4 linked regions of the Drosophila melanogaster genome follow. The protein of the gene in region 2 interacts with the protein of the main gene of each other region in a pairwise test. Each region holds a gene or a part of one and is shown on either strand. Other genes may lie near its edges.

Region 1 (8,978 bases), on a different chromosome or scaffold from region 2:
CAGCTCCTCCAACGAGTTGCTCTTCTTGAGCTTGTTTTGCTTCTTGCGCTCCTTCTTGCGCTGTCCAGCGGCACTGTTTCCGCCACCGTTGACATCGTTTTCAATGTACTTGACGAGCTGCTCAACAGGATCATTGCCCCTATAGCCGGCAACCGACTCCACATCGACGGTGGTGGTGTTGCGCTCCTGCTGCGACTTCTTCTTCGTCTTCTGCTTGGTGGGCTGCTGCATGCCAATGCCGATCCCAGAAACCGTTCCAGCCGCGCCTCCGACCGGTGCCTGTTGCAACTGGCTGTAGGATGCAGCCACCGCCGCCGCTGCCATGGCCGTTGTTGTAGTGTTGGTGCCCGTGGAGAGCAGCGTGGAGACACTATTCTGACGGTGAGCGACAGTAGAGGTGGGTACACTGGATCCCACCGTGGGGGTTATTAGAGCTGTGAACTGGTTTGCGTTACCGTTGCCGTTGCTACTGCTGGCGGCAGCACTGGCGCCACTGGCGCCACTGGAGCCACTGGCTGCACTGCCCCCGAAACCATCGCCCAATGCATTTCCATTCTCGTCTAGCTGTCGCTGTAATAAAACAAAAAAAAAATAAAGAATGATGTTGTAAACATTAGAATTCTCGGAGTTTGTATTAGCAGTCGAAAGAAGAGTCACAAGCTGCACTTATAGTTCTGTAATTATAACCCTTATGTTTACTCACAGTAGTCGTCTTGCCACCCATTGGCGCAGCTGCCACTGCCGCTGCGGCGGGGACCATGCGTCCAATCTTCGCAGGTCGCAGATCGCTAGACAGTGCGTCAGAGGAGGCACCGCAGTTGCTACCGCCAGACACGGCCGAGGAGGAGGTAGAGGGCTTGCTGCCCTCCACGGCAGCTGGCGAACCTGCACCGCCGCCGTAAACTGAGGAGCACGCCGTGTAGTTGTCGTTGAGCGACACGTAGCCGGCCTCTACCTTGCGCTTCTCCTCCTCCAGGCCGAGACCAAATTGTCCGGTGAGGGCGGCCAGGTATTGTGCCTGCTGCTGCAGCTTCCTCCTGGCAGACAGCTCCAGGACGGAAAAATGCAACCGGTCGTCGATTAGGAACTTTTTGCCGGCACCGGTGTACCTGGCCTCCAATGGCGTGTCGTTTAGGGCGTCAATCAGAAACTTCATCGAGGGGTTCTGAGGATCCAATTGCTGTACATGAAATTGAAAGCGGGGGAATTAGAAATGTATGTACACAGCCCCATCTGCGCGGATCCCAAAATCACGAGATTAATCACAGAGTGTAGGTCGATGCAAGAAGTTTGTCTCTTACAAACTCGTTCGTTAGTCGATTTAGATAGAAATCAATCTACTATGTGAAAGATTATCTAATCGACAGTAAATGGCTCCAATACTTGGCATCGCTTACCTCCAACATGTTGTCGTCTTGGTCGCCGCTGGCACCGACAACGGCGCTGGCACCAACACCCGTCGCATCGTCCATGTCCAAGTCGAACTGATTGTTTGCCTCCGTATCGCGCGATTGAGTTATCAGGCTGCTGCAACTGCCGGTGCTGCTGCGGTGGTGGTGCTTGTTACCGACCGACCCCGAAAACGAGCCACCTGCAGCTTCTGTCGAAGGCTGAGCCTGTTGCTTATTCTGCTTGGCTTCCATGGCAGACGATGCCGGCTCAAAGTTAACACTGCTGGGCAGGCTGCCTCCTTCGCGCTGCCGGCCCGAGACGTTTAAGTTCTTGATCTTTTTGGATGCGGATGCGGAGGAGGTGGCGTTTTGGTTGTGCTGCTGTTGCTGCTGCTGCTGCCGGCGATTGGAGCGACCACTCAGCTGGTAATCACAGTTGAAACGTTGGGTTGCTGCCGCTGTCGCTGCTGCTGCCGCCGCCGCCGAGGTTGTGGCCAGTTCGCTGCGGTGCGCCGCCTCAACGAGATCCTGCAGGGAGCCGCCCTGCTTGTGCCGCTGGCCGGGATCCGTTGACCGGTGATTGGTGGAATTATAGCTGCTGTTGTGCCCTGCACTGCTGCTGCTCCCGCCGCTCGAGCCTGTTGCTGCACTGGACGTTAGTGCGGATGGGTTGATTGTGAGGCAGGATTTGATGGCACGATAAGAGATCTCTTCGTCGTACTCAGCCTTTTTGAGCATTTGCTGCAGGCGTAAAAGACGTGAAGCAGAAATATTTATACACACATATATATGTTGCACATACATGAGCCAAAACTTACCAGAAATCGCTCGCTCTTGTTCTTCCTGTCGCCAGGATTTCGATACCAGTAGGCCTCTTCGAGAAGTTTCTTCAATGATGCGTCGTCCAGATCATTAAAATCGCTATCTTCCCAGGTATCGTATTTTGTCTGCAAAAGCGTCGAAGAACAATATTTGGCAATTAGTTTTGCAATTTTTCGGGTCATCAACACGAACACATATGCGTGTAAAACAATAATCGCTGCGACTTAACCTAAAAAAAAAAAAACAAAAGAATTCGGAGCTCCACTTATTCCAAACACATGCCCTTCTGAGTTCCTTATGCGAACTGATGAAGTACCGACCGCAGAGCAATAGAAGTATTAAATGGCACACGGTTCCAGTAAGTAAACGCTCTACATACGCACACACATGTGTACTATATGGTGTTGCACACGAACACAAGAAAACAGAAAAAAAAAAAAAAAACAATAACTGAAATAATAACGGGAATAGGCGAGAAGTTTTCGTGGTTAATGCCGCGGATGTCACCAATGCTTTTATAAGATAAACAAACGCTTTGCGGTTTTATCCGTTCCTTCTGCCCGATTCGGGGTCTTGATTTCAATAATTATCGAAGGCGCTGGTCAAAAAACCGACTGCGATCAGAAATTGAAGTTCCTGTGTGGCGATTACTTGATGGGACCAAATGTAACGGCACTATTTCGAAAGCCACAATCCCAGTCAGTCAGAACGAGATAACAGTATGCTTGGTCTATTTCTACATCATTTTCGAATTCTTTGCCATTAACTTCGTAAACGGTACTTTGGCTTCTATTCGCATACATATATGTATGTATGTGAGTATGTATTCATTAGGGGGATGCAATTTGACTGTCAATATTTATTTTTTTTTTAATAAAATTCGGTTTTCGATAAAACAGTGTTTGTGAGTGAGTAATCGGCTCACTTAAAGTTTTTTCCAAAGGTCATGTTTTAAGGGGATTTCGGCATTTTCATTTTCGACAACTTTAATGGACCGCAAGCGTAAGAATCTATTTTAGTTTATAGCTTAGTGTGCAAATAAACAATATTTATATCTAATTTATGTATACCTTGGTTTTGGTGGTAACGTAAAGATCGGACAACTTGCTGTCCAATACTGGAATTCCACCCAAAATCGAAATTAGTTTCAAATTTTACGTTTACTTAGTTGTTTCTCAACTTAGTCGCCCTGGTAGAGCTCTATTCAAGCCTGGCCATGCATAAGATATGGAGTCCAAACACCATAGAGCTTTGGAGCCTCCAGAACGTACACAAATGTGAAATTTTGCGAGTAACAAACATAACTATACCTTTTTCTTAATAAAACAATATCTTAACTCGGTTTCTGCTTAACATGCACTATATTTCCACCTTAAGATGCAACTCAGCCAGAGCGCACTTACCTTTTTCTTCTTCTGTCGCTTGCCGACATTCTGATCGTCCTGGGTCTTGCCCTTGGCAGTGGCTCCGTACTGGAGTACCCTGCGGTTTGGTCGCGACAGTTCAGCGCTGGGCGAATCCTTTAGCATGGCAAAGACCTGCGAGAAGGACGTATCTCCTGCTGCTGCTTCTGCTGCGGATCCTTTGGCAGCGTCTGCCGTGGCTGCGTGGTTACCAGAGCTATGGCTATTACTAGGGGATGATGACTTCTTGGGGTCATTGCCTCTGCTGCTACTGCCGCTGGTGGCTACATGGTTGGCAGCCACTGGTGCCGCTCCTTGGCTGTCCTCGTCTTTGGCCCCCTGGTTCCTACAGGCCTCGTCAAGCTGCGCGTCTGCCTTCGCCACATGGTCTGACATCATGGTCATAAGCTGCTCCTGTGGGAACGGCGTCGGCGTTGTTTTGGTGACGGTGGTCGTCGTGGTGCTCTCGCTCATCGTGCCAGCGGCAATCGAGACGATGGGCGTGTCCGGTATGATCGTTGGCAGTTTGGCAGCTGCTCCACCAGATGCCACACGATCCGCCGGTGTGTCCGATGATGACGGCGTTTGTTCATTGTTCATCTTCTTTCGTTTGGTGGCATGCAACGAAGGAGAAAAACAAATGCCATTCGAATTCCTCGAATCTGTTAGGGCGTGTGAGAAGAGGGGAATGTTTGTTTTAGTAAACGGGTATATCTCGCATTCCCATTAACTGCTTACAAACTGTTTCTTCTCTTCGCGATGTTTCTAGGTAGCCCAGCTGCCCAGCCGCCGTGTGGTTGCCACCGCGACTGCAAGTGCTCTGCAGGCTGTTCCGCCGATTCCTAACGATTCCTCTCGACTTCCAGACGGTTTGAGGCACAGGGGAGCCCACCTATTGCGCATCAGTTTGGACTCCTGCTGCACTTGACAGGCCTGTCGTCAGTAGCTCTCCTCCGGCTCAAACCTTTGCTCGCGGCATTTACGTAGGTTCCTGGGCACGGGGATGCGGATTGCTCGCAAACAGACCGGAATACGGAAATGTGTGCGCACGGATCTGCAATTGATTGGGAAATGGGGATGAAGTTGAGACTAAAACTGAAACTGAGACATTGGACCACTGACTGGGTGTTTTGCAGCATTTGTTGTTGTTCTGGTCATGCGGACGAGCGACAAGGGGCGGTGGGTGGTAGCAGGTGCGTCTGTTTAGTCTTTGGCGACCCCTTGCGGCCCACTGACTTCGAATTTCTTTAAAAAGCACTGGTCTCTTTCCATATTCATTTTTTTTATTTTTTTTTTTTTTTGGCTAAAAAGCAGTGTTGCTAACTACGCTGCGTGCCAGGGTTGACAAATGCTGTTTGTTGTTTGTAGGGGCAAGCCGTTGAGATTGCTAAATCGGCGTTTGCTCTAGGCTTGCATCTTACTAATCAACACGAGATTGCCTGCCCGTTTTGCAACTAATTAGTGGGATATGCCCATCGAGTTGGCAGCCCTGCGGCTGTTGTCAGTGGCAACACTATCGCAAAACACGTCATTTTGACACAGCTTTTTCACCAATTTCCCGCTCAGCTCGTCAGCATTGGGGCACTGCGGCACAGTTGCCCAGCAGTTGTGGTCACAATTACCCAGTAACTGAAGTTTTCCGCGGATCACAGTAGTCATTTATTGATAAATACGCCAGTCGATGACAGCTGTATAACTTTCTGCGCACTCACACGAGCGCACACGAATGTACGCACCCACACACACGCACACAAATTTACGCCTGTGTACATTTCTCTGACCTTCTCAGCGTTTTTATTTTTTGGTTTGGCAACTGAAAAGAAGGGAGCACATAACTGCGCACTCAAGTTCTAGCAACTGCAATTGAGTCGAACGGTTGTGCTTAATATGTTACAGTTGTTTGTAAGCGGGCGAAATTGTTTAATTGCACAGTAGGCACATGAGAAAAAATACCGAACCCGAATTGAAAAACTCTCTGGAATTGTTGTTGTGTTGTGCAGCACTTTGAAAAGGCGACGCGACGCTGCGCAGCACTGCCCATGTCATCAACATTTTTAAACCGCTGATTCACTGTGGCGGTAATCGATTGGTCGATAGTTATTTACGTTTCGCTATCTGGCAATACTGCTGTTTTAGGAAAAAAAAAACGCGTAAAATATAAACAAATGAAAATTAACCACAAATATGAGTTCGACGACGATGTGGCCTCCATATGCGAGTCAACGGTGGGTTCCGCTACGCCTTGGCGTGTTTTGGGTGTTCATTCTAATGGTTTTAACCGCAAACTTGCAGGCCGCCCTAACCGAGGGATGTCGTTTACCCGTCAGGATGCACAAAACGGACGACTGGCCACTAGCGGAGATTGTGAGCATCAAGGAGTTGGATGGGCGCCGGCAGTTTTACGTGCACTATGTGGACTGTGAGTACCAAGTCGTCCAGTGGGAGCATATTTAGTATAACTGCCAATCCGCAGTCAACAAGCGCTTGGACGAGTGGGTCAACGAGGAGGATCTGTACACGCGAAAGGTGCAATTTCCGCGGAGAGACGGCTCACAAACAGGCACCAGCACTGGAGTGACCACGCCACAGCGCCACCATTCCCTAGCGGGCAGCGTTTCTCGGCCTACATCACCGCAACACCCTGGTTCCGGGGCTCTGGCAGCCATCCCCCAGACTCCTACTGGTGCATCAGGCAGTGTTCCTCCCCCTGCTGGCATTCCAAACTCTGTGGCTCCACCCGGAACACCAAGCAGTGGGGGAGAGCTTGTGAATGGCAACAATCTGGCCGCAGCCCTTCAGAAACGCATCAATCGCAAGCGAAAAAACCACGGAGGCTCGGCCCATGGACACCACAGTCTGACCAGTCAACAGCAGCAGTCACATCCGCATCCTACAACTCCGCAGACACCCACGGCTACGCCCGTGCATGTGACCGGCGACGGTTTAATAAGCGGAGCGGCCAATGATGATGGTGATGGATCGCAGGATGGCAAGACGCCCACGCCGAGGCAATCAGGCAGCATGGTTACGCACCAGGACGACGTGGTCACCCGCATGAAGAACGTGGAGATGATCGAGCTGGGCAGGCATCGCATTAAGCCCTGGTATTTCTCACCCTATCCGCAAGAGCTGTGTCAAATGCCCTGCATCTACATCTGCGAGTTCTGCCTGAAGTACAGGAAGAGCAGGAAGTGCCTGGAGAGGCACCTGTCCAAGTGCAATCTTAGGCATCCACCGGGAAACGAGATCTATCGCAAACATACAATTTCCTTCTTTGAAATCGATGGACGCAAAAACAAGGTGTATGCCCAGAACTTGTGCCTGCTTGCCAAACTCTTTCTCGACCACAAGACACTCTACTATGATACCGATCCGTTTCTCTTCTACGTAATGACAGAGTTCGACTCGCGCGGCTTCCACATAGTAGGGTACTTCTCCAAGGAGAAGGAGAGCACAGAGGACTACAACGTGGCCTGCATTCTCACAATGCCTCCGTATCAGCGCAAGGGCTACGGCAAGCTGCTCATTGAGTTCAGCTACGAGTTGTCCAAGTTCGAGGGCAAGACGGGATCGCCGGAGAAACCATTGTCTGATCTGGGTTTGCTGTCCTATCGATCGTACTGGGCGCAAACCATACTGGAGATCTTTATCAGCCAAAACCCGAGCACGGACGGCGAAAAGCCCACTATAACTATAAAGTATGGCTAGTTCTAAGCTTAAAGTAATACAATTTTCAATCCACAGAGATTGTGCTTCATTGCCGAAACATAGATTAATCATGCTCCCAAAATTTTTCTTCACAGCGACATCTGCGAATGCACATCCATCAAAAAAGAGGACGTGATCTCAACGCTGCAGAACCTGAACCTGATCAACTACTACAAGGGCCAGTACATCGTGTGCATCAACCGGGTTATCATCGAGCAACACCGGCGAGCAATGGACAAGCGCAAGATCCGCATCGACTCGAAATGCCTGCACTGGACACCCAAAGACTGGTCCAAGCGCTCCAAATGGTAATCTCCTCATCTTCTCCGTATAAATAACTGAGTTTAAACAGCTTTGAATCCGTTTTTTTTTGTTTTTAGATTTCCGCTACCAATATTCTTCATCGGATGATCCTGGCTTCGTTGTAGCTTGTAGTTTTCATTTACAGTTTCCGTTTTTAATGTTATAAACTAGTTTATATCATACAATATTATATATACTTTTGAGACGACCGGCTAGTTGTTTGTTTCCCGCGGTGGGAGAAGATCCTCCACAAGGCGGTCCATTGCCTGTATCATGCCCATCTCCATACCATTCTCCAATCCATCGACGGCGGTACGCAAACTTCTTAGAGCTTCTTGGTTCTGGGCGAACTCCCGTTGTTGCCGGCATAGATTTAGGCGCGGTTTGTGGGTGGTGTTCAGATGTTCCAGGCACTGCTTCACATCGTTGGAGTCCAGAATGGCGGGACGCAGATCACTGCCCAGTTTGGATCGCAAACTAGCGATATCCTTGGCCGCCTGGTCGACTTGATTCACATCAGATACACGATGGGCATCCACGGCCGCCTGCAGGGCTCCGCACTTCAGGAGCCTCGCCAGCCGCCCAAAGTCCCGCTGATACTCACACTTGGCGTCCAGCCAAATGCGTACTTGCTCCTCCACCTGGCGCTTTACATTGCGGCTGTCTTCCTGAAAACGGCGCATCGCCTCCAGGTGCAGCAGGTATTGGATGTCGTCCATGGTGCCCTCAGTTGTCAATGATGGCGGTGTGGTCGTGGTGGGAGTGGGTGGAGTTTCCATAGTGGCTTACAAAAACTTCTTAGTTTTTAAAGTGGGAAATTCGGATTCGATTGCCGACGCTATCGCTTTCGCAGCTGCTATCGGTAGCATTTGAAGTCGGCTAACGGAGATTTTTGTAACGATAGGCGCGTAGCTATGTTCGAGTCAAATTTGGCTATTAATAACTATATAAAAAAAAAATGAAAATAATTCGAAAATGTAAATAACAACAAGATATGTAGGTTTCCTTACATAAACTAACAGGTTTTTAAAGTTTCTAGAAAACTGAAATAAGTTGTTTGATTTTGCTTACCGATAGTTGGGAAACCAGCTCTTATTGATTTTGGGGCTAAAAATGTAAGCCATGCAAATGAAGTTAACGTTTAAAAACAAGTCAATTCCTTGCAGCACGGAAACCAAGTACTGTAAAAAGTAATTCCCTTTCAATTCAATTTCACTTCTTTAGCAGCATATTTCACCTTCCCTTCCAAGCACCAAATGTCCGGCGACTCTCGCGCGACAGCGTTGCCAGTTAGGCGACGAACACGTTTTAACTATTCGTTTCGTTTAGAAAACACACAACGCTTGCCTAA
Region 2 (6,944 bases):
AAAAATGTCAGTTAAATACAATAATTCAATGCAAGTTCTTGTTTATATAAATCCAACTTTCTTTGCGTTCGCATCGGTCGCGAAATGGAACTACACACCAAAATATTTATTTTAATTATAATAAATCCAAATATTTTCATATGTGAATCAAAGCAAATGAAGCTTTTGCTAACAATTCCAGACGACTATTGTGAAACATATTGTGGTGGCATCTGTAATGATACAGTCGCTTCAAAGACTTGCGACAGAGAAGCTTATGATTATATTGCCACCAATGAATACCATTTAATTATGAGAGACGGACATTTAGAGGTTAACTGGAAAATTCCCGATCCAAACATTTTCATCATAAGTCCGATCAGCAAAGAAAACCGTTTGAAATTGAATGAGCTAATTGTATCCGATACAAGTTACCCAATACGTGCAGTGGATTATCTTCGGCAACTTGGTGTGGAGACAGTAACACGTTTCGAAAATCAAATAAATTCATTTAAAGTAATTGAAAGAGATGTCCATTATATCAATGGACCTAAGTCTCTTAAAATAATTATTCAAAGTAACCTTTACCTCAATGAAATAATCGAATATATAAATAAGACAACGGATAATGTGAATGAAATTATTATCAACGCATATAAAACGGTTGAAAACCAGCAAATTGCGCTAGACAACCTTATTTTTAATGGGAAGTCGCATTTAAGATCACTTACATTTATTGGATTTCAAATTGAAAACTTATCCACGAAACCATTTGCTCAGTTTATTAATCTCAAAAGGATGGTTCTTACCAATTGCACGGTTCGGAATTTGACATTTTTAAGGTTTGTAAAATTGATTAAAATTATAGCTTCCTATACATTGCTCTCTCATTAAGTTGTTTGCAATTCAGTATAAATAATTAATTTTCTATTACTAACTCTATTTAGAACTCTTCAAAAGAGCCTTGAACATTTGGAGCTGGATATCGACAACGAGGTGGATTTAAAATACTTTACAAACTTTTCCAGTCTCAAATTTATGAAGGTTAGGAACTACATTCCCAACAAGAACTTCACAGCTTTAATATGCACACACAAAAATTGTAATTTTATCCGTGGAATCAATGGGTTAGAATGCCCTAAACTTTGCCAATGTCTCTATATAATTGATGACTTGGAATTAAACATAGACTGCAGCAATCTGGGTCTTTTGCAAATTCCGCCCCTACCAATTCCAAGTTATGGCGGTGTGAAGTTGAATTTTTCCAATAATTCTCTCTCTCAGTTGCCAACTATGACTTTACCTGGATATAAATTGGTTAAAAGACTTGATGTTTCGCGGAATAGGTTAACCAACTTAAGTATCAATCACCTTCCAGCGAAACTGGACTATCTTGATGTAAGCTTCAACGAAATAATTAATATGGGAAACGATGTAATCAAATACTTAAGAACTGTCCCCATCTTTAAGCAAACAGGCAATCAATGGACTATTCATTGTGATGACAAGCCGTTATTAAATTTCTTTAGACATCTCAAATTGATAATACGGATGAAAAGTGCTGAAATGAAACCTATGTTCTTGCACTCGTTAACCGAATTACCTAAGGGGTTTTTGAAGTTTTTGGGAAAGCACTTCATTTGGCTAGGTGTGAGAAAACAAGAATACTATTTGATCAATGAGGAACAGTTGTTGCAAAGTATGCATCGCAAACTAAACAACCTTAATACAATTATGAGCATCTATAAGTATATGGAATGGCTTCACCGAAAACTAATATTCGTCAATCGGGAGTATGATCTATTTTATATTCGTCAAATGGCAGCCCCCTGTCCTCATAAGTGCGAGTGTTGTTATAGCCGCGATTCACTTATTTTAAAAATAGACTGCAGGAATAAATTTGTATATAACTTTCCCGATATCGTTGCTAGAAATAGTCGTCTTATGTGAAAACAAAATATGTCTAGTCCTATGGAACTGCATTTATCTAAAAATAATATATCAAACATAACCATCGCAATGCTACCAAAGGAACTAAGGTTTCTTGATCTACGTTTCAATAATCTCGTTACCCTGGATGACAAAGTCCTGAGTTACCTTAAGAAAAATTCAATTAAAACTAAACTTTCTGGGAATCCCTGGAATTGCGACTGTAAGTCGAGATCAGTCCTTTCCATTTTGAGAGATCACGAACCCCTTGAGTATGACGTCACGTTGAAACGTTGCAATATATCTCCAACGGATTGTCCAGATGTTTGTGTCTGCTGCTTGGATAACTTGACATGGCCATCATTTATTGTCGATTGCAGAGGAGAAGGACTTCTACAGATGCCTTCACTTTCAAGCAGGGTTACCTATGTGGACCTAAGGAATAACAACCTTACGGCCCTGTCACAGAAGAATCGTTCTTCTATCGAGAACAGATCGTTAAAGCTGCATTTGCTTGACAATCCCTGGTCTTGTTCTTGCAACGATATAGAAAAGATAAATTTCATGAAGAGTGTGTCTTCAAGTATAGTAGACTTCACTGAGATAAAGTGCAGTAATGGTGAGAAGCTAGTCTCGATTAATCAGCATATTGTGTGTCCATCTGACCTCTTTTATTATTTGGCACTCGCGATCTCCCTAGTGGCCACGATCATTGCCTTAAACTTTTTGATATGGTTCAGACAACCGGTCCTGGTCTGGTTCTATGAGCACGGTGTGTGTCTCAGTCTGTCAGCCAAGCGGGAACTTGATAAGGACAAAAGGTTCGATGCCTTTCTGGCGTTTACCCATAAGGACGAGGCTCTGCTGGAGGAGTTCGTGGATAGGCTGGAACGTGGTAGGCCCAGGTTCCAACTCTGCTTCTACCTGCGAGACTGGCTGGCGGGCGAATCTATTCCCGATTGCATTGGTCAATCTATAAAGGACTCGCGGCGCATTATTGTCCTCATGACAGAGAACTTTATGAATTCCACTTGGGGTCGCCTCGAGTTCCGACTGGCCCTCCACGCCACCTCACGCGATCGGTGCAAGCGTCTGATAGTGGTGCTCTATCCAAACGTGAAGAACTTCGACAGTCTGGATAGCGAGCTAAGGACCTACATGGCATTTAACACCTATCTGGAGAGAAGCCATCCGAACTTTTGGAACAAGCTGATTTACTCGATGCCGCTACTACCAAGCTACGTTGACTAGGACATTACATTATTAATTTCAATAAGAAACAAAAATATATAATTTGTTGTCTCCCACACAGTTTATTTTTTGAGATTTACATAGTTCCCGGAAGTATTCCGACAGGTTTCCGGGTCAACTGGTTTAGCAGCAAGGACCGCAACCGCAAAAACTGCTGGTGCCGCCGCAGCAAGGTCCACATCCTCCGCAAGGACCACAGCAGGGGCCACACCCACCACAGCAGGGGCCACATCCACCACAGGGTCCGCATCCGCCGCAGGGGCCACAGCAGGGGCCCTGATAAATCATATTAAAAGTATTCACTCGACTTACGAGACCGATAAATACATACCCCAACCAAAACGTAATTCGGGTTGACGTACATGTACATGATTTTGTTTCTTAAAAGATATTTCCCAACCGGAATCGAAAGGAACCGAAAATTTAGGTGTTAACTATTGAAGGTGGAACGGAGAACTGACTGAATGTGATCCAAATTAGCCGAAGCTTCATTTGACAGCAGTCATGAGAATTTCAAGGCTAATATGATCCGACAAATTATATTCATTATTATTATTATATTCTGGTATCCCAAAACCCATAATCTAGTTAGCTATGGATATTTTCGACAGTTGTCAAATTCATATACCAACTTGTGAGTCAGGTTTCCATCATTCTTATTTTGGTTCTCGGCCTGTAATCATCGAAATATTTTTTCGTCCTAAGTTATTTCTTTGTTAGGTTCAAAGTGAGTATTTCTCAAAGTGTAAGCATGCGAAGTTTTAACAAAATTTTTCTTAGAACTTTACGGAACCATCATGTGTTGCGGACCCCTTGGATTCTGCGGACCCTGTAGCCCGTGCGGCGGTCCTTGCGGACCTTGCGGACCCTGTGGTCCTTGCGGTTCCTGCTGTAGTCCTTGTGGATCTTGCTGTGCGCCTTGCGGCCCTTGCGGTCCTTGCGGTCCTTGCTGCGGGGGCTGTGGTCCATGCGGGCCTTGTGGACCTTGCTGTGGACCTTGTAGGCCATATTGCGGGTGCTGAACAACAACCACAACATGTAAAATATCTTTTTCCTGTGAACCACAAAGTGGAACTTAGGACTGAATGCGGATAAACTCTTCTTAGCTCGCGGGCCTAGTCAATAAAATAAGAATTTCAAAATACCTTTTCCGATGGTTTTTCTCTTCTAAATGGTGCAACCTTTGTCTTAGCTATGGATACCAAATGCGTGACAATAATAATTTATGTAATATAATTGCGAAAATTAAAATTGTCAATTCTTGGTGGATTGCGATCGTTAGAGGGGGCGGAGGAACATCCTACGTTCATATCGACTAGGCTTGTGATCCAGCTCAAGAATAAATAACCTTTTCTTCTATTCACTATAGCATAGCTATTACTCTACGAGTGGCGGGTATAAAACCTGCAACCGTGAATTTAAACCTCATTCAATAATAGTATTTGTCTGCAAACGGACAAATGTCCGATAACAATAATTCTATAACAATAATAACTATTTTTAACCATCAACCGCTGTACATAAACATAATTCGAATTCATAGTAGGCTATGGAAATCGTTCTTGACCTGTCAGACCCACCTAACCTTGTAAGTTCGGAAAATATATCATTCTCATCTCGACCCTTGTGCTGCTCGCATCAAAATTTTGTTGTTTTGTCCCAAATACTTGTTTTTTTTTTTTGGCTTCTAAAGACCGTTGGTAAAAATGTTTATTGTAAAGTTAAAATAGTATACATATTTATTTCGTTTATTTTAGACTTCTCGAATTAATCATGTGCTGTGGACCTTGTGGATCGTGCTGCGGATATTACTGCTGTGGTCCCTGCTGTGGACCTTGTGGACCCCGATGTGGGCCGTGCGGATCCTGCTGTGGACCCTGTGGACCCTGTGGACCTTGTTGCGGACCATTTGGCAGTTGTTGCGGTGGCTGTTGGTGCTAAATGCTCGCAATTGGCAGCCGAATCGATTTGTGAAACCATACCACAATCCCACCATGGTTAAACTAACACCTGAAAGTTAAAAGCCACAAATATATATATATGTATCTTAATGCAGATCCATGTTATCATTGGGATAGTTCACCATTGCTCTTACTCGGCGTTACTCGTTGACATAATAGGAATGCGTTTCGTAATATGTATGTGGGTGTAGGTTTCTTGATCAGGAACACTAGCCGGATACTAAGCGAGCAGATTGTATTGCGCTGCGAGCACAAGTTGCTATATGGAAATGGTTGAGACGTTCTTGGTAATACCATTTTATTTTACACGAATGACGTCTCAAGGTGATTGATTCTGCCTTCCGACGAGCTTCACTAGGACGTTCTTTGTTGTTCCCATCTGGATCAGTTGTACTGCTTGCTACGGCAGGACATTTTCTTAAGCACGTTATTGTAAAATTCACTAAAGAACAAAATTAAATTCCTTTTAGGGCATTGATATAAAATTTTTATTAATTTTGCATTTGTTTATTTTAAATCTAGAAGGCTTTGAATCTATATTCTACTTTCCTGTGCAAGTTCTATGTAAGCAAACATCAGTTTTCATCTTTCCCTTAACCCAAGAACATCAAAATTTGAGCTCTTTTCCAAGCTTTTTAGGTTCAGCACTTTGTACGTAGTTTTTTATTTAAGAAAATTGTTGGTATAATAGCTTTTCTTTTAGTTCTCAGAAATTAAAAAAAAACATGGGCTGTGCACCGGGCGGACCTTGCTGCGGACCCTGTGGACCGTGTTGCGGACCCTGTTGTGGACCCTGTTGTGGACCCTGTTGTGGACCCTGTTGTGGACCTTGCGGGCCCTGCTGTGGCCCCTGTGGACCTCGTTGTGGCCCTTGCGGACCCTGTGGACCGTGCTGTGGCACTATGGAAAAACGAAATGGCCTTCAGCGGTGCTGTCCTTTTTAGCTGTGATTTCCCGAATAAGCAACCAAACTGTGTCCAAAAAAAGATTTCATTAGTCTATTGTGACAAATAAAGGGGAACTATGAAAACTATCAAATTAATGGATCTTAGCAGGGAGCCAATGTAATCATTGCAATTTCATTCATTCACACTCCGTACAAGAACTATAAAGATTACTGCTTTTCCTCTGCTACCTTTGCTTCACAAGCCGATGACGAATGACAAGCCAATCCAAAAAGGCAGTAGCTGAAGAGAGAAGCAATCTCCATAGGACAATCACCATAGGACAATAGACCAGGCTAACACTGAAGCCTGCGGCAATACATTCACACACGTAATAGTTGCATTGGGCTTAAAAGGAGCAGTTGGTTTATGCCAACATGCTCAGGTAATTGGGACGATGCAGTTGGAAAATAAAAAGTAATCCTGCCCTTGCAGCAATTAAATTAGCCAAATAGGGGATGTTAATTAGTGTCAAGTACCTTGAAGTAAATGGTGCCAAAAGAGGCGTGGCCGAGGCCAATCAAAATGATTTCCAAGCAATGTTACTCATACGCCCCATGTAGCTGGTCCCAGTCAATTATTAATGGCTGCTCGGCGCGAGTGCAGACTGCTGACATCTCAATTCAGGCGAATTGTTTATAGTATGCAAGCAATAGGATGCCAGAGGAATATCTGGGGAACTGATTTTCATCATTCATTTCGCCAGTCGACTTTTCCACTTTCCACGCTGAATAATGAAGGCAGCCATTTTAAGTGTGCGCCTGCGAGGCACTGGCTCTCCCGATGACGCAGTTAAGGGAATTCTCGGATATGTAAGCTTCTAGCATTTAGGCCTCATACAAATGTATAGCGCATCCTGTTATATGAGTAGCAGACGAGC
Region 3 (8,283 bases), on a different chromosome or scaffold from region 2:
AATACGTCATGCGTCCATTTTAGCCACTGAAGACAGTTCTAGACTAACTTAGAGCTTCCAAAATTTACAGACCTTTCGGAAAACCCAAAAGTAGCGAGGGCATAAGCATTGTCTTTCGATTTGTATTTATTGGCGAACTTGGATGGCATCCAGTTAGACGTTCTTTTCCTCGTTAGCCGTTAAGAGGTACTTGTATCTTTGGAATACTAAAAGTTTGCTGAACTCGAGATGGGTGAGTATCTCTGGCACTAGCAGATATCCATCGAAGTAACTATATTGTTGTTTCGAGAAGAATTACCATTTCATAGACAGATATAAATATAGAAAACCGTAGACTTAGGCTCAAGAAGTTCATAACGAAAACTCAAACATTTATTGAAAAAAAAATATGCAATTTAAATCGAAATTGAAAGCATACTTCACTTGCAACTTATTTCGAATATCGTACTTATACCCTTTTATGCAAAACAGACACAAAGCTCGCCTTCATTTCCGGACTCATCATGATCCCCACGATATCAGGCGCCCTGACCTTCAATGCAACTCTAATATGTAGCTTGGTGGTCAACGGAACCAAGATGAACGATCCTCGGGCGTGCAACGCGTGGATTCAGTGCATCGATGGGAGCCCTGTGAGTGGTAGCTGTGCGACTGGACTCTTCTACGACCGGGAGAGCCAGAAATGCCTGAGTTCCAGTAGTATCAAGTGTCTGTCCAGTGATCCGTGCGCTGCTCTGCCCACCGGATTCGCGGCTGATCCGTACTCCTGCAATGGTTATTACTATTGCAAGGATGGCAAGGGGACGCACGGAGTGTGCAACACTGGGATGAATTTCAATTCGGGAACGCAGGACTGCATCCGCGATTTTCCGTGCTCGAATAAAATGGACCCGGATAGCTATTGCAACATCTTGCCGGATGGGGTCTTCGTCAAGGACACGGACAACTGCAATGGCTATCAGTTGTGCTGGGATGGCCAGGTGATCAATGGAACCTGTCCGGGCACCTTCTACTTCAAGGCCTCCACGGCCCAGTGCGATTATCCGCAGAATGTGGAGTGTGACTTCGTCCCAGTGCCAGATATTAGCAAGAAGGGTGTATGTCCAGAGACGGGTGGATTTATATCGGATAACAAGACCTGCAATGGCTACTACTACTGCAAGGATTTGGGCAATGGAGAGTTCTCGCTGGAGCATGGCGTCTGCTCCGATGGAAGATTTTTCCTGGCCACCGATGGCGGAGCCTGTGTCCCGCGATCCAAGGTGAAATGCGGCTACGATCGATGCGTGGGCTTGGGCAATTCCACCATTCAGCTGGCCAACGAGTCGGATGATGGCTGCAGGGGCTACTCGATCTGCCAGGATGGCATCGTCATTGGCCAAGGAACTTGTCCGCAGGACGAGTACTTCGACGAAATAACCCAACGGTGCACCACCCAGGTCATATCATATACCGCCTGTCAGATATCGGAGGCAACCACCGGGTCCCAAGTTCCAAGTGGCACCACCACCACCACCAGCAGCACCATCACTAGCACCACCATTGCGGTCCCGGTGTCGTGAGCAGCTCCTCATAAGTATAAGTAGTGCTGTTATCAGGCCCAAGTCCCATACAAATTATAGATCAGCTCTTTGTTTAGATTTCGTGGAATTGATCACAATACAAACATCTGAATTTTCAAATGTATTTAGGTATAAAAAGATTATTTCGAAAAGCTTAGTTGTACGATTAAAAGTTGACTCATTTGTGAACCATCCGAGCCATAATATAATCTTATCCCGCCTGCCAGAAAACGTCGGCTGATGAATGGCACTATCAGCAATATTTTGGTCTCGTGAGCGACGTACGCAATCAGTTTTAATTAGACAGTTTGTTTTTTCGACGCCGATACAATAAATATAAGTGGTGTAATCAGGCGCAATAACGATTAAGTTACCAGATCACCTCTGGGCCAAGATTTCCTTGAATCGATTGCCGAGCAAGACACTCGGTAACGTGAAACCGTGATGTCATACTCAAGAACACCACTTGGAAATTTGGCGATGGGAAAGTACCAGGGAGGTAGCCATTGGATCCCATTCATGGCCCATACATGGGTGATATCACCGTTTTTAACAACTGCAATAGGAGATTTGAATGGAAAAGTACGAAGTTATCGTACTACAAAGTTGATTATTCAAACCACTTTATTCATTAGGCACCATATATGTACATGTACATATGTCTATGAGGTGTCATAACAAGATAACTTATATTATTGAGTTTTTCGGAATTTGTTATCGTTATTTGTTATGATCAATAAATACTAATACATTATAGCGAGGCTGCAAAGTTGCCCCGTTTGTCATTTGAATACTTGACCTTTCCTACATACAAATCAATCATCCGCCCTGTGGACTTGTATAACTTCCTTCTTAAAGTGGACATAATTGATTTCTATGGAGAACGAAAGCGCGTCGATGCATTTCATTTGCATTTCACACTCATACAATATTTGTGGACCTAATGGGTAACATCGACCCTAATAGTTGAATTTAATTAGTGATAGACAAAAACGACCCTTGGGCGTTGGATACTTCTTGCTCGCCTGATGGCCAACACGGAAATAAGCGATCGCGGCAGCTCCGAGTAGCGAATTCATTATCTGGACTATCTGGAATCGGTTTGAAATTCTCCGAACCCTCCACTGGGGTACAATTTTAATTAAAACTGATAATTTTTTGGGCACTGCAAGTGTCACGAAAACAGATTGCCAAATATGAATCGTTGTGTGGCGCAGTTTTGATATCAAAAGGGTTGCCAGAAGAATTTTATCACGCCAACTTCGTTTCGCTAATGAACATTTCCGCCAATGTAGTTCAAAAATCAGTCCAAAAAATCATAGTATTTCTCTAGCATTATTTATACCAATTCATATTTTATTGTTCAAGGTTAGGGTAACATCTTCTATAAAGAGGAAGCAGACGGTAAAATTCGAATGGAAAGGGAATAAAACTACAATAGAGCCAAATGCAATGGATAAACTATATATATATACATTTCAGGTTTCAATGGAGTAACACATTTATTGGACATTTTTCGAGAAGCTAATATTTGTAGACCCATTTCCATGGTAAAAAGTAAATGGATGAATGTCATAAAACTTAACACTTCCCACCACAAAGTACATGAATTCCTTTCAAGCAATGCATTTGACCTCCACCATGAATTGGATCGATTTATTGGATATTTAAATTGGATGCGATTTGGTAAGGATTGTGGTAAGGATGCGATCTTCTGGGACAGCCTACACGGAACATGCGATGTTGTGGTAGTTGGTCTGTGTGCATCCCTGGTTGCGCTCGTCGAAGTAGTAGCCCGTTGGGCACTGGCCCAGGCTGACGGTCACTCCGCCGGAGCAACGTCCATAGCTCTGGCAATCGCCGGCGACGTTTACGTAGGTGATGTTGGTGCCCACACACCTGTCCAGCTGGCAGCGTACGTTAAGTCTGTCGCGGCACGAGAGCTTCTCGAAGTCGAAGTACTGGCCAAGTGGACAGCTCAGGTGCTTGGGCTCCGTGTCGTGCTTGCCGGCGACGGGGCTGCCACAGATATAGTAGTGGGAGCAGGACTCGTCGTCGGCAAAGTAGCCAACGCGAGCGGATCCGGTGGCACTGTCCAGGCAGAAGGTGTTTTCCGGTTCCGGCAGGGCGGCACTCTCGTAGCAGGACACCTCAGCCACATCCACGCAGTAGCCGAGATTAGCATCGTAGGCACTGGCCACTGGACAGGCTCGGCTGTGCAAGACCTCGCTGACGCACTCGTAGTACTGGTCACAGTGGACGGGATCGGCCAGACGGGTGTTGTTCGGCAGGGATCGGCAGGCGGGACTGGTCTTCTTCGTCTGGCTGATGGGGCAACGGTACTGCTTTTCGTACACGCAAGACCTCGATACGGGATGGAAGATCAGCTCGTTGGGACAGTTGGCCTTGATCTGCTTGTGCGACTTGCACAAGATGTAGCCGCGACAATCGCTGCTGCTGGGATCCACGATGAAGGCGCCTTCCGTTTCGTTGGCGCACAGGTTCGTGGCCTTGTCCGCAATGCTGTCGGCATAGGGACACACCGCGGCGCTGGAGGATGCCAGGATGCAGCGGCCTAGCTCCTTGTTGTAGTTGAGTCCTGCGGCACAGCCGCCCTGCTCCAGCACGCTGTAGTTGCTGGCGCACCGCACCCAGTTGTCGCAGGTATTCGGTCGCAGGAAGCTTGTCTCCTGCGGCAGCAGGTCGCACATCTCGGCCACCGATAGGTATTCAAAGTCCTCGATCACGCCGCCCAGGGCGCTGGCCACAAACAGCAGCGACAGGACACCGCTAGCTGCAAGTAAAATCGAAAATCGTGGGAACATTGTGTCAGGAACAGGATGGCATATCCAGTGTGCTTTACCATTTATTAACCCCAAACATGTGAGTCAATTTTTAAATTTAAACTACGATAGCTGGTACGAAAATTACCCTTCTGCCAGAAAGCCCTATCAACTTAAAAACTTAATGTTTGAATTTAATTTATATGTACATTTTTAAAGAGCAATTCTTTCAAACGAAATCCATCACTGTCAATGTTCAGCTGGCGTCCCACTTTAGTTTACCTCTATTCATGTTTTATATCCTTTGGTTAACTTGTATCCTGGTTTCTCGAACGCCCCGCTGCGATCTTGGCGGCACTCACAACTCAAATGATACTGCACCTTCGGAGGCTGGAGCTCTTAAATATGCAAAGGCCATTCTGCTCGGTTTTGTTCGGCGAAAAACAATTTCCAAAATGCACACGCTATCTCAATCAGAACTCCAAGATAGCGCTGATTTTTCGTTCTTCGATTTTTGATTTACTGATGTACGATAGCGGGGCCGCATGTAAATTACACGGCAATAACATCGGAATTGCCTATTTCGCAGAAGAACAGACTCCTGTGGTGGCGGTGGTATCGCATCGGATTGATAAGGGAATTGCATATGTCACGCCAAGATCTCCAAGATCTCAGCGCCATTGACGGTTCTCGAACATCTGAGAAACGCTGGAATAGTCATCTACAGACCGAACTCCCAATCTCATCGAATATCTTAATTCGGAGTTCGGACCAATAAATGAATTGCTGAACGATTTCTGCGTCAACTGAGCTCTTCGTCATGTCTCTTTGAATATTATTATTATTTTTTTGTATCATTTTGTTACCTATAACTATGCTATATTATACGATACCATACTAGAATATACTATACTATACTTTAGCCGCCGTTTACAGAAGTTAATATTCTAATACAATTTCACGTGTCTCTTTTATTTTTGATCTGTCCTTTAGCTTGGTTCAACAGCGACTGACTGCCGCGCTCTCTGCAGAGTGGCGAGTCGATTAGTCGATAAGTTTCTCGATAATATTTGTATGTTAAGGATGGGTGTATGAGTGTATAAGCTTATGACTAGATTGGCTATGTATAATTAGGTATGTATGACTAAGAGTAAAGGAAGAGGGTAGAAGGAGCAGCCTACTACAACTCGGCCGTCCTGACTACTAGATCTCCCGATCGTAGGATTTTATAACAATTAACGTTTCTTAAAGCTAAGGGTCCTGTTTCTTATTTTATTCTTCTTAGTGGAGATACTTTTGAACGGTCTTAAACATTTTTTTGGTTTTCTTTTCTTCTTGTTTGTTTTCTTTGTTTTACAATTGCTTCTTAAATTATACTTTCGATTTCGTACAGAGTTTCTTAAATTATACTTTCTATTTTGTACAGAGTTTCTCAAATTATACTTTCTATTTTGTACAGAGTTTCTCAAATTATACTTTCTATTTTGTAGACTCTTAATTTTTCTTTGCCAGTGTTTTATATTCTGTATGCTCCATACACCCCGGTAAGGATTGCGAGAAATTTGAAATCCATCAACATCTTCCAGAAGGAAGCGATCATTTTTGAGAACTTTGCTTATGACATAGGGTCCTTTATGCTTTGGAATTAACTTCTTAGCTATGCCTGTTGTTGAGTCAAAATTTTTAACCATGACGTAGTCGCCTTTTGTGAACACTCCTGATCGTTTTCGTTTTTTGTCAACATATTCTTTATTGTATGCTTGTGCTATTTTCTGACTTGCCTCGCCTTTATTTCTAATACTTTCTAAATCTCTTTCTTCAATCGTTTCTCCAATTTCCTCAATTTTTTCTTTTAACTCATCCATAATTTGTCCTTTTTGTTGTAACCCAAATAACATTATGCTAGGATACTGTTTAATGCTGCGGTGTAGTGTATTGTTCAGGGTATATTCGACCTTTTCTAAGACTAAGTCCCAGTGTAGACCTTGATCAGGTTCAATTAACTTGCTAATCATTGGACCAAGACTTCGGTTTATACGTTCAACTTGACCGTTGGCTTGTGGCGATCCTGTTGCAATTTTTATGTGTTTAACATTGCATTCTTTCAAAAATGAGTCAAAATCGCCAGACGTGAAACATGCTCCTCTATCTGATATGATACACTTAGGCCTACTGTATGCTCTGAAGTAGTCATTTAACGATTGTATGACTTCTTTTGTGTTCGTAGTTTTTGTTGCGTATAGTCTGACAAACTTTGTGAATGCATCTACTATCACTAGAATATGTTTCTTCGGTCTAGCCAAGTCTACTGGACCATAATGGTCAATATGGATTATTTCAAAAGGTTTGTTTCCCTTAGGTATGTTGTGTAGAAATCCTTCTGTTTTTCCTGTTTTGGGACTGAATGAAATACATTTTAAACAGTTGCTGATATGTGTGCTACACTTCTGTTTTAAATTTGGAAACCAATAGTTTTTCATTATAGCTTCTATCATTTTGTCTCTTCCTACGTGTCCAAGTTCGTTGTGATATTTGTATAACACTTGTTCTTCCATTTCTATCGGAACGTAGAACAGCAATCTATTTTCATTTGTCTTTTTGTAAACTATACCATTTCTCATCTCATACAATTTATTTTCTGTGTTTTCTAACAATTGCCTGATTTCTTTTAATTTTGTATCTTTCCCTTGACATATAACTAGATTATCTTCGAAACTGTTTGTTTGTATTACCATAATATTTGTACACCTACTCAGTGCGTCAACATGTTGCATGCGGCTACCTGCCCTATGCACAATTTCAAAATCATAACCTTGGAATTCTAAAGCCCACCTGGCTATCCTAGGGTTTAGCTCTTTTTTGCTTAGGGTCAAAATTAATGAGTTGCAGTCGGTGACTATTTTAAATGTCCTCCAATGAAGATAAACTCTAAATCTACGTAACGAATAAACAATGGCTAAAGTTTCTAACTCGAAACTGTGGTATTTTGATTCAATATCTGTTGTCCGTTTTGAAAAGAATGAAACTGGGTGCCATTTCTGGTCCTCCTTCTTTTGCATAAGTACAGCACCGAATCCAGAAGAACTTGCATCACAATGCAATTCTGTTTCGTGTTTATGATTGTATATAGCTAAGACCGGTGACTGTATTAATTTATCTTTTAACATATTAAAACAAATCATTTCTTCACTACCAAATTTGAACGGTTTATCTTTTTTTAGAATGTCATGCAATGGTTTAGCTAGTCTAGAAAAATCTTTTATAAACCGTCGAAAATATGAGCATAATCCCAAAAAACTTTGTACTGTATGAACATTATTAGGTATTGGGAAATTTTTTATTGCCTCGATTCCTTTGTCATTGGGCATTATGCCGTCTTTATTTATTATGAACCCAAGATATTTTATACTCGATTGCATAAACTCACATTTGTCTATTCTTAATTCAAGTTTATTTTCAACTAATCTTTTAAAAATTTCTTTCAACGTTTCTAAGTGTTCGTTTATATTTTCGGTTGCCAATAGAATGTCGTCCATATATACTACTACTTTGTTTTCTCTAATCATATCAGCAAAAATTTTGTTAACAAATCTTTGGAACACAGACGGGGCGTTTTTGAGGCCAAATGGCATTCGCAGCCACTCGTATTGGCCTAATGGTGTAACGAAAGAGGTGTATTTTATTGATTCTTTTTTAACATGCACGTGGAAAAAACCGTTTTTAAGATCGAGTTTGGTGAAAACAGTTTTCTCATTCATTCTATCTAACAAGTCATCTATAAGAGGTAGAGGATAGTTGTCTTTCATTGTCATTTTATTAAGTTTTCTAAAGTCGACGCACATACGTAAGTCTCCAGTTTTCTTTTTCACTAAAACAATAGGCGATGCATATTCCGAGTCGCTTGGTCGTATAAATCCGTTTTCCAAATATTCGTCTAA
Region 4 (9,117 bases), on a different chromosome or scaffold from region 2:
GAGTCCGTAATCTAGAAAACAATCTTTGTGCATTTGGTGATGTATTTGCAATTTGATCACTAGAGAACTTTGAACTTGCAGCTGACCAGCTGAGAAATAGAAAGCGAAACCAAAAGATAACTCTATAGGCGAGTTTCTCGACTATAAGATACCCATTACAGCCAGTGGCAGTGTGACAAATAAATTTTAAAGATATTTCTGGACTGTTGACTTTTGTGTTCAAGCTTTCTCAACTTTCTGCCTTTTATAGTTTCTGATATCTGGACAGACAGACATTCGGAAAGATCCTGATCAAGCATATATATAGTTTATGTGGTCGGAAGCGCTTACTCCTATCTGTTACATACTTTTTAATCAATCTTGTATCCCCTTTCACTGTCCGAGTAAAGGGTATTGTAAAGGGGGAAAAATCCGAATTGACCCAATTGAAAACTGCAAATTCCCTTGGCATTAATCATCAAATGCAAAGCAGCCAAGAATAAAGGAGGCATAAAATATACACAAAATGCAGACACTTGTTGCCTCCCCCAAAAGAAAATGCTGTTGGGAAAATTGCCAGGGCGAGGAAAATGGTAAAACTGACGTCGAGCAACTGTCGCCAAATTGGTTTTGGCTTGGCGCCCCCGAAGAAAAGGAAATATATATATATATATATACACGCATATGAGAAAATAAAAACATTAGCACAGTTCGGGATGTTTTATATACCCAGCATATGCCGCAAAACCAAAAGACACCAAAGTGCCCGCAAAATGTGGCAGAAAATATGTAGTTTATGTGGTTTGCGATTCCATCTACAGATAGCACTTTGGGTGCCCTATAATAGTGTGAAGAGTATTAAAATTCGCAATATAAAACCATATAAGAGTGGACTTGGAGGTTTCAAGACATGAAAAGATGCAACATGAGTCATGCTATGTTGAACTGTTGACAATTTGAAATATAATTATAGTATAAAGTAGCTTGAATTGATCGATGTTAATATTCAAAATTTGAAACTGAAAAGCCTGCATCTCTTAATTTCGCAACTAAAATCGCAGCCCAAAGCAATCAAGAATTAGTTCTAGCCACTGTGCGATATACTTTCTTTTTGGCCGGAAGACATAAGCCAAATAAACACTTGCGCTGGCTGCCAAAAGAAAGCCGAGCAATTAATATCAATGGAGAGCCCACGCACAGAAAGCCGCAGAAATGGCATAAAAAGTGGCCGCAAGAACGGCCGGCAAATAATGTTGTCGTAAAAAATAAACCACAAAGGGGATGGGCCGCCGCCTTGCATCATCGCCAATTGCCAGACGCTATAAAAAATAGCTTTGCAACTTGTGGCGCGATGTCACGCCCCCTTCGCGCTACATACATATGTATGTATATGTCTATATATATATATATATATATATATCGCACATAGCGGGTACACATGTCTCATCGACTTCGTCATGGCCTTTATTTTTAGGTTGCTGCCTGCCGCCGTCATGTCTCGTTTTTCGTTTCGATTCTCTGCCAAATTATTTGAACGCTGCGTTTGATTTACTTGCAAATTTGCTGGCACAGTTTCCCGATTTCAGTAGGCCAACCAAGTCAACAGCCAGCTGGCCGAAACGGCTGCGAATTGGCCTTCTTTATCGCCACCTTTTGAGCCGCATAAAACAGCAAACAGGCAACCAGGCAATTTGTCGTGGCCACAATCTATTAAGCTCTGTCGTAGAGCATAAATATCGCGGCTCTTCTGGAGCTCTGATAATTTGTTTATTGTTTATGGGAATGGGAAGTTTTGCCACTTTATCTGAAACATGCTCTACGGAGTAAAAAGAAGAATTAAAGAATTATGTAGGTGCTATTGGCATAAAAGAATGCTGGCGAGACAAGCTATTTTATATACTGCCTTTGGGCGAATCACTTGGAGAATTCTATCTATATTTCAAACTGAAACTTTATATAAGTGCACATAGATTTGGAAGTACATATGTATCTTCAAGTCAATTGTTCACAAAGATCTAATATCTTGCTGGATTGTCATACAAAGAAATACCCATTTATGTATGACGTCAAGCAAATATTCTGTAATTTTTCCAAGGGCAGCGAGCAAAGTGCAAATCATGGGGATTAGCTTTCCCAAATATTCACACGTCCCAGGGCGAAAGATCTCGATGGAGCCATAAAAGGCATTTACAGATATTTGGTCTAGACAAGCAACAGCCACAAAGACAGACCAGACACATTTTTCACTTTCACTAATTGTCAATTCTGTAGCTCCATTGAAGGAAAACAAAACCGCAGACTGAAAACTGAAAACTACAAACAACAAATTGAAAACTGGAACTTGAAAGGGGGAAAAATGGGGGTCTGAGTGATAAGTAAGCGATCGCTTTTCTCAGCGCCCTCGCCAGATGATCCAGATATTATAGTATCTGGCACTTTCAAGAGCGGTATTTAGAGCTCGAATTCAGAATGAAGTTTGGTTGAGTCATTAGTGAATCACCGCATATTCTTAAGTTGTTAGAGAATTCTCGGCTGCATGGTTTTATAGTGCCTATTATGTATGATATTGAACGAAAAATCGTACGTCTATTTGTGGGGCCATTATTTAGTGATATCATCAGAAATACAGACAAAGACAGGATGTAGATAAGCTCGACGTACGCGATTAGCAGATTTCTTTGTTAGAATATAGCAGCTTTTTAGTTTTAACTTATACAATAACCATATATATACAATTAATATCAAACTGATGGGTTTGATCTCTAGTAAGACTACAGGAAGTAGAAAACAGCGATATGAAAATTTATCAAAATTTGTTTGCACAGACGGAGGTGACGAACTAAAAATTCAGATCAGGCGACACATATGCAAATTCCCGATCGTGGGTGTCTACAAGAAAACTCGAAAGTCGGGAATGTTGTGGGGGGCCAAACATTTCGGGGCGGCGTAGTGGGGAAGTGGGTGCAGAGGACTGCGGCATAGACGGTCGCATGCATATTTACGCTTGGTGTTGAGTGAAAAGAGAGTAGACAGCTACAAAACCAAAAAAAAAAAAAAAATTCTTCGGACCTATTAAAGATTATTGGCCTGGTGCGAAGTTAGCTACGCCCACGAACCACGCCCACTTGTGGCAGGGCGGGAGCATTCGAGTGTTGCACAACAATGTGTGAACAAGGAATGCATGCCTATGATGACGATCTCAGAATACCCTAACAAAATCCTAACCGATCATTCAGTGATCTTTATAATGTTATCATTACTTATAGTTTTTAGTTATTGAACATTGTTTGGAATTCGTTTCATGTACCTTAACTTACACCTTGTTTCAATGCTTAAGTTTGCACTTCAATCCAACATATTTTCTGCCTTAATTAGACAGACTGATATGCCCAAAACGAAAGGGCATTCAAGTGTTTGTTTTGTGGTCCGGCTTGATGTTTTATCGGAAAAAGGGGTAAAAAGTTTTTGTCAGCCCGACTGATTGACGGTAGCGCTGAAAGCTGTTGTCCATCATCAAAACCAGAGAACTGAGAATGGAGTAGAAATGCCCCCAGTCTCAAAAAAGAATTCCCGACTCAGAATTTCCGAATGAAAACTCAGTCCGTGGATGCAGATCTGCTTGATTGCCACGCTCACTTGACATATGTATATGATTAATAAGATTTATGGGCTATTAGCAGAACCAGCCAGTGGCCATAAATAAGACAAATCCGCGAGGATTCCAGTCCTCAACGGCAAACGTGTTGACAGGCGGAGCAAGATCTGAATGACCAGCTGAATCACATCGTTACGAAATCGAAAAAACTCCAGCTTAAAGTCTGTCTTATCAATAGACATTCCCCTTATTTGCCTGCAAATGAGGCATTTATGTTCGCCACCACAGCCAAGTGGCTAATCACTTCTATTTATAAAGTGTACCTAGATAGGCTGGAAAAATAATATAGTATGTTAATTACACATTGGAATTGAAAACTCTGTTACCATTAACATTAACATAACCATTAACATAAAATCATGATTAGCGTCCTAAAGCAAACAATTGATATCCCTTAGTTACTCAGCTAAGAGAAGTAAGTGGTACTACAATATAATTGCTCATAACATATTTAAATGACTCTATTGGAAATTTCTCCACACCAACATTTAGGGAAACAAGGACGAACAACCGGGCAACGGACCATAATATAAATTTACAGGTATGTAATGTATGCAACTACTTTAATTGGTATAAATACGATAAGTATTCAGATCATAAGTAGATCAGTAGATAAGTAGATGTCGCGATGACGTCACTATGGCAATCTCAAAAGTGATTCCTCTCCCAATCTCTGTGAGAGAGAAAGGCGAGCAGAGCGCAAGCTTTTTGTGGATCGCTTCTGTGAAACGGCAATGCCGAACAGTTGTACGTTGGAACTCGAAGCGATCGGTCGCATGCTCCGTGAAATTCAGCACTCAAGCTTAATCCTTTGAAACTAAAACGGCGTCCTTATAAAAATTAAGAACTTGATGAAAAAATAAGTGCAAGGAGTTATAAAATAATCTGTTAAAAAGTGAGCAACAAGTGAATCCTTTGTTAATATTTTTAAATGAAAAATTATAGGCTCATCGAAAAAAAAAATGAATTGACAAAGTTGATGAAGCACAAATTTACAATAATTGCATTTCACAACTTCGCGTAAAAAGTTGTAATGGAAGTTAGTTGTAATTTAAAGTTAGTTAAAAGCCGGCTTTTAATTAACAACTGAGTGTACAAAATTATTGAACAAAACAAATAAAAGGCCTATTGCAAGTGATGTGCTTGTTTTATGTTTTTGAGCAGCGGCTATAAAATGTTTATTGTCTTTCTGGCAATGTCTAACAGTTTGAAAATCGGACAGCCACAAAGAGAAGTGTAAATAAAAAACGATTGAGTAACAAGTTGTTTTATTTTTTATTTCAATATTTTTTGCATCAGAGAAAACGCCGGTTCTACGCAGCTGCGCGTTAAAAGCAAAGGCGTGTGCCAAAATACAAACATTCAGCTGCCAAAAATATTTAGCAACTTGTTAGACTCGAAAAATTCTCTGGCAAGTTGGAGCATAAAATTAAAACAAAATTAAAAAAAAAAAAAAGTTCTCGCAAAGTGCAATTAACGGAGCAGAAAAAATACAATGCAAATGAGCAACTATAGAAGTGGAAAATAAAGTGAATAAAACGAAAAAAGTACAGCTATTTAAAACTTACATAAAAACTCTACGAGAATAAATAAAACTAATAAGAAGCCAAGTGCCTAATATATGCGTATTTATTATTCTTATTTGCAGAAAGCGGAATATGAGGATGCCAATATAGAATTATCGCGATCGGAGTGCTAATCAATTAATTAAAAAAAAACCTAGAACAAAACTAAATAAATACAAAAATATTTCATGCAATATTTAAATATGAATCTCGTAATATGCAATCTCGTGCTGGCGTTCATCGTCATTACATTTTCGAAGACGACACACGCTTATTCCAGTTTTCCAACTGACATAAATAGCAATTACTTCGACGTGCGGAATTCGACCTTGCCCATGACCATGACCACCTCCCATCCACAAACCAATCGTCCTCTCGCTCGCTACGTTCTCCCCCCAAACGAGTTGCATACCGCGGACGAGGACGAAGAGTCCTCTGACTTAGAGCCGTACTTTGAGGATCGAGCGGTCCAGCGGGACAGGTCGTATCTCATCCGATTGATCCGCCGGCGCGTGCCACGTGATCAGGCCCCCCAGCAAGTAATTCTTCAGGGCCGCAGTCTCAGTGGCGTTCACTGGGGGCAGGGCGACGACAATCATCTCAGCTCCGATGCGGCCGTCGATGGGGTGAGTACTGTATCTCTAATCTGGGGACACACACGAGGGCAAACACTTCAGGCGAACCATAAACGTTAAGTCCTGCTTACTCGCCCCATACAATTTTCTCATCATGACATTATCGAGACGGTCAAATATTTATTTTCTTTTTTTTAATGACACGTTAAGAAACTTACATATATGAAGGTAAAAACTAAAAGAAGTAGAATAGAGTATCTCTTGTTGAATAATCTAACAAATTAAGGGAAATCTCTTGTTGAATAATCTAACAAATTAAGGGAAATCGAAATTTAGCATCGCTTTATAAGCTAAAAGAAGAACGGAAAATAACAACAGCCACAATTTTTTCCAGAAATGAGTCACAGCCATTTTTTTTTCTGATTTCTTTGGTCGACTCTCGATGAGTTTGTCAAGTATCTGCAGTAGCTGCAACTGCTTGTTGCGCATTAGAATGGTAATCAGAATCGGATCGCAACGAGATGGCTCACCTTGAACCCCACAGTGCCCGTAAAGCGACGGGTGACTAACCCTGGGACTGGCAATCGCTCCGTTCCGATCTCCGATCTCCCTGGCGCTCCACTTACCCATTGCGGATCGAGGATCGCAGATGCCACCCATGTGACTTGCCAGTTCGCCAGTTCGGCGAGATGAGTTACACAACGGCGGCAATTATGAAACGTGTTGCGGCAGGTAGGAGCTACCAATTTGGTTAACAAGCCAATTTGGCGGTGTGCAAACGGGAGCCAACATTATGCTCACATCCAGATCCAGATCCCGATCCCGAAGAGAGATCTCTGCCCAACAATCGCTTTCGGTTTCACTTTCCGGCCTGTAATTGTGCCGATCAGAAAGGGGCAGAACCTGTCGCTCTGCTGTTTCATTTTTTATGGCAATTTTTTTTTTCGTCTCCATGGCCGACAGCTGGTTGATGGCAATGAAACGGGTTGCAAAGGGTTTTTGGGATGCTAAAGACATGACTTTCCGTTATGGTGGTCCCTCGTTAATTGGCCTAATTGACTTGACAACTTGCAACGGCTGCCGCCGCCCTTTAGGGGAAATCAATCGTGTGTCTAAATATGTGGGATTTACTCTGTTTAGGAACAATTTCACTGATTTACATTGATTACTCGTAATTGAGATGGAACATCATTCAATACTCATATGAGTTTTATTACCAATTAATACAGATTTCTGAGAAAAATCGATTTTGTAGAAGAAGGGTTTTGCCAAAAAGTAACTCGATTGATGTATGTATGTCGAAATGATAAAGCGCATAATTCTGAGTTCCAAAAACAATGCTTTTGCAAAATCTTGGAACTGATACAGGGGCTGATTAATGTTCGCAAAATGAGCATTTCCAATGAACTTTATAAAATTAAGATCTCTTAAATTTTTTGGTTTATTATATCGTTGGCTTGAAAAAAAAAAATAGTTTTCTTTTTATTTTTACTTGCGTGAAATTCGCAAGAATCGACAATCCACAATATTGCGCAAGTTTTGAATATATACATAGCTTCGGATTTCCCCAAAGCTGACGACAATCATTTTTAGATTCTGCGATTAATCGCTTATCAGCACAATGCTGTCGCTTTTTATTCCCCGTCGCAAAGTCTGGTTTGGATTTTCACTCTTATCGCTTGCACATTTGAATGCAACTACACGCATAGAAAAATTCAATCTCGATTTGAAAATTTTTGAACTCAAAATCTAGCCAAGATCGACTCATGCTCAGCATACTCAGATCAAGAGTCTTAGATTGCAAGATGGTTTCTTCTCATGAGAACAAATGATGCCACCGACACAACCAATATCGTATTTTTCTGGGTGTATCGCATGCAAAGGTGCGATAAGGAGATATGGAGAAAATGGGTAATCGTTATGTGAGGGGGGGATGGGGGGTGGGGGAGCTTGTGGCATATGCACTCAGGCGGCATAAATAGCTTATGGTCTGTGTTCATGATTGTACCTTGATATCCCTGATATCCCTGCTCACATTTCCGACCGCATCCTTTGACCTCTGAAAAGAGGAATTTAATATCTGCTCGTCGGAACTTTGTACTTGGTACAAAGTCCCCCGACCACACCCACTTTCCGTCCGCCTTTTCGCCCTGGAAAATCGCTGTACTTGCCACTGAGCTCGAACTACCCACATGCCATTTGAGTTCTCCCTATGTGTTTACCTTTGCCAGTTTATTTGCCAACGCATTCCGTGTGCATAACTGCACTGAGATTAAGAACCGCGAACGGGCCCTATATGTTGGCCAAAATATGTTACTTATGGCACCGGGTAAAAATAACCCTGCTCGAATGAAAATGTTAATATAAGCCACACAAATGGGTCAGCAACAATTCTAGCATTGCAAACAGTCAGAATGTGAAATCGCATCGACTCAATCGATTAATCATCAAGAACTTAGTTGCTCCAGCAGCAGCAAGGTTAATGAAATGTAAATCTGCACTCGTATTTATAGGCAAATGTGCGATTAATATAACTTGATCTGGTCGCTAGCACACGACGCACAATCGTACAATCGCCATAGTTGAATGACTAGAAAATGCCTTTATCAACAAACAACACACGGGCTTAGAATAAAAGGAGGTTATCTGCGGCTGGCAAAGAATGTGTGAGAATTCTCAAGAATTCGCTACTATTTGCTCTTGAACTTACTGTGTGATAAGAACTAATTTACAAATAATCAACAGCAATTAATTATAGCAATTAGTTATTTCGGTTGACATTTAACACAATTTATAATATCATTTATAGTCAATTCTGAGATTAGTACATTCGCAGTGAACTTCGAAAATAAAATCATTTCACTCTCACTTCGAAGGCGCATCAAGAAATAAACAATGTTCTCTGCGCCCCATAAAAATTCTATAAAATTTCTATCCACAGCAAATCTGTGTTGACTCCGTCTATTGCCACATAGAGTTGAACGATGAAATCAGTTGCCACGCAGCAATACGAATTTTGGGGATAATGTAAATGTCGGCAAGATTTCTGATTTATTAGCAATCTTTTCAAAGAGTTGGAAAAAAAAAGAAACTAATGACGGTCAAATCGGCTTATGACATAATAGCAAACAGCTTTCGGGCGGTCTACAAAGTACTCGTATGTCAGTGATCTAAACATGATTTATGGTCCACAAGAGATCAAGTATTTCACGCGGAAGCTCTGCATATTTATGACAAATCTATAAAGTTTTATGTAATTAATTTCTAGTCTGCGACACATCGCCTAATGAACGGGGAAAACTAGTCGCCAAAAACAAAAAAAAACAGCATGAGAAAAGGTGTA

What was found.
Region 1: the proteins of Mst84Db (region 2) and tyf interact in a two-hybrid assay, tested with the Drosophila melanogaster proteins (one large-scale study listed by BioGRID).
Region 3: the proteins of Mst84Db (region 2) and CG7017 interact in a two-hybrid assay, tested with the Drosophila melanogaster proteins (one large-scale study listed by BioGRID).
Region 4: the proteins of Mst84Db (region 2) and Pvf2 interact in a two-hybrid assay, tested with the Drosophila melanogaster proteins (one large-scale study listed by BioGRID).

What each region holds. Positions count from the first base shown.
Region 1 is NC_004354.4:4,113,656-4,122,633, reverse strand, and holds the start of tyf (twenty-four), read right to left. Parts: upstream 5,085-8,978; 5' UTR 4,739-5,084; intron 4,671-4,738; 5' UTR 4,355-4,670; intron 4,279-4,354; 5' UTR 4,217-4,278; coding exon 3,617-4,216; intron 2,921-3,616; exon of another isoform or gene 2,339-2,920; coding exon 2,210-2,338; exon of another isoform or gene 2,194-2,209; intron 2,133-2,193; coding exon 1,398-2,132; intron 1,181-1,397; coding exon 704-1,180; intron 571-703; coding exon 1-570. Other genes in the region: Tip60 (Tat interactive protein 60kDa), read left to right, coding at 5,782-5,841, 5,909-6,035, 6,090-7,314, 7,420-7,632, 7,705-7,705; dgt4 (dim gamma-tubulin 4), read right to left, coding at 7,840-8,406.
Region 2 is NT_033777.3:7,362,518-7,369,461, reverse strand, and holds Mst84Db (Male-specific RNA 84Db), read left to right. Parts: upstream 1-3,834; 5' UTR 3,835-3,886; intron 3,887-3,939; 5' UTR 3,940-3,956; coding exon 3,957-4,181; 3' UTR 4,182-4,302; downstream 4,303-6,944. Other genes in the region: Mst84Da (Male-specific RNA 84Da), read right to left, coding at 3,283-3,435, 3,491-3,529; Mst84Dc (Male-specific RNA 84Dc), read left to right, coding at 4,933-5,100; Mst84Dd (Male-specific RNA 84Dd), read left to right, coding at 5,846-6,064.
Region 3 is NT_037436.4:20,207,397-20,215,679, forward strand, and holds CG7017 (uncharacterized protein), read right to left. Parts: upstream 4,727-8,283; 5' UTR 4,638-4,726; coding exon 4,628-4,637; intron 4,357-4,627; coding exon 3,287-4,356; 3' UTR 2,896-3,286; downstream 1-2,895. Other genes in the region: CG6996 (uncharacterized protein), read left to right, coding at 229-232, 472-1,562.
Region 4 is NT_033779.5:7,079,894-7,089,010, reverse strand, and holds the start of Pvf2 (PDGF- and VEGF-related factor 2), read left to right. Parts: upstream 1-4,375; 5' UTR 4,376-4,529; intron 4,530-5,282; 5' UTR 5,283-5,387; coding exon 5,388-5,825; intron 5,826-9,117.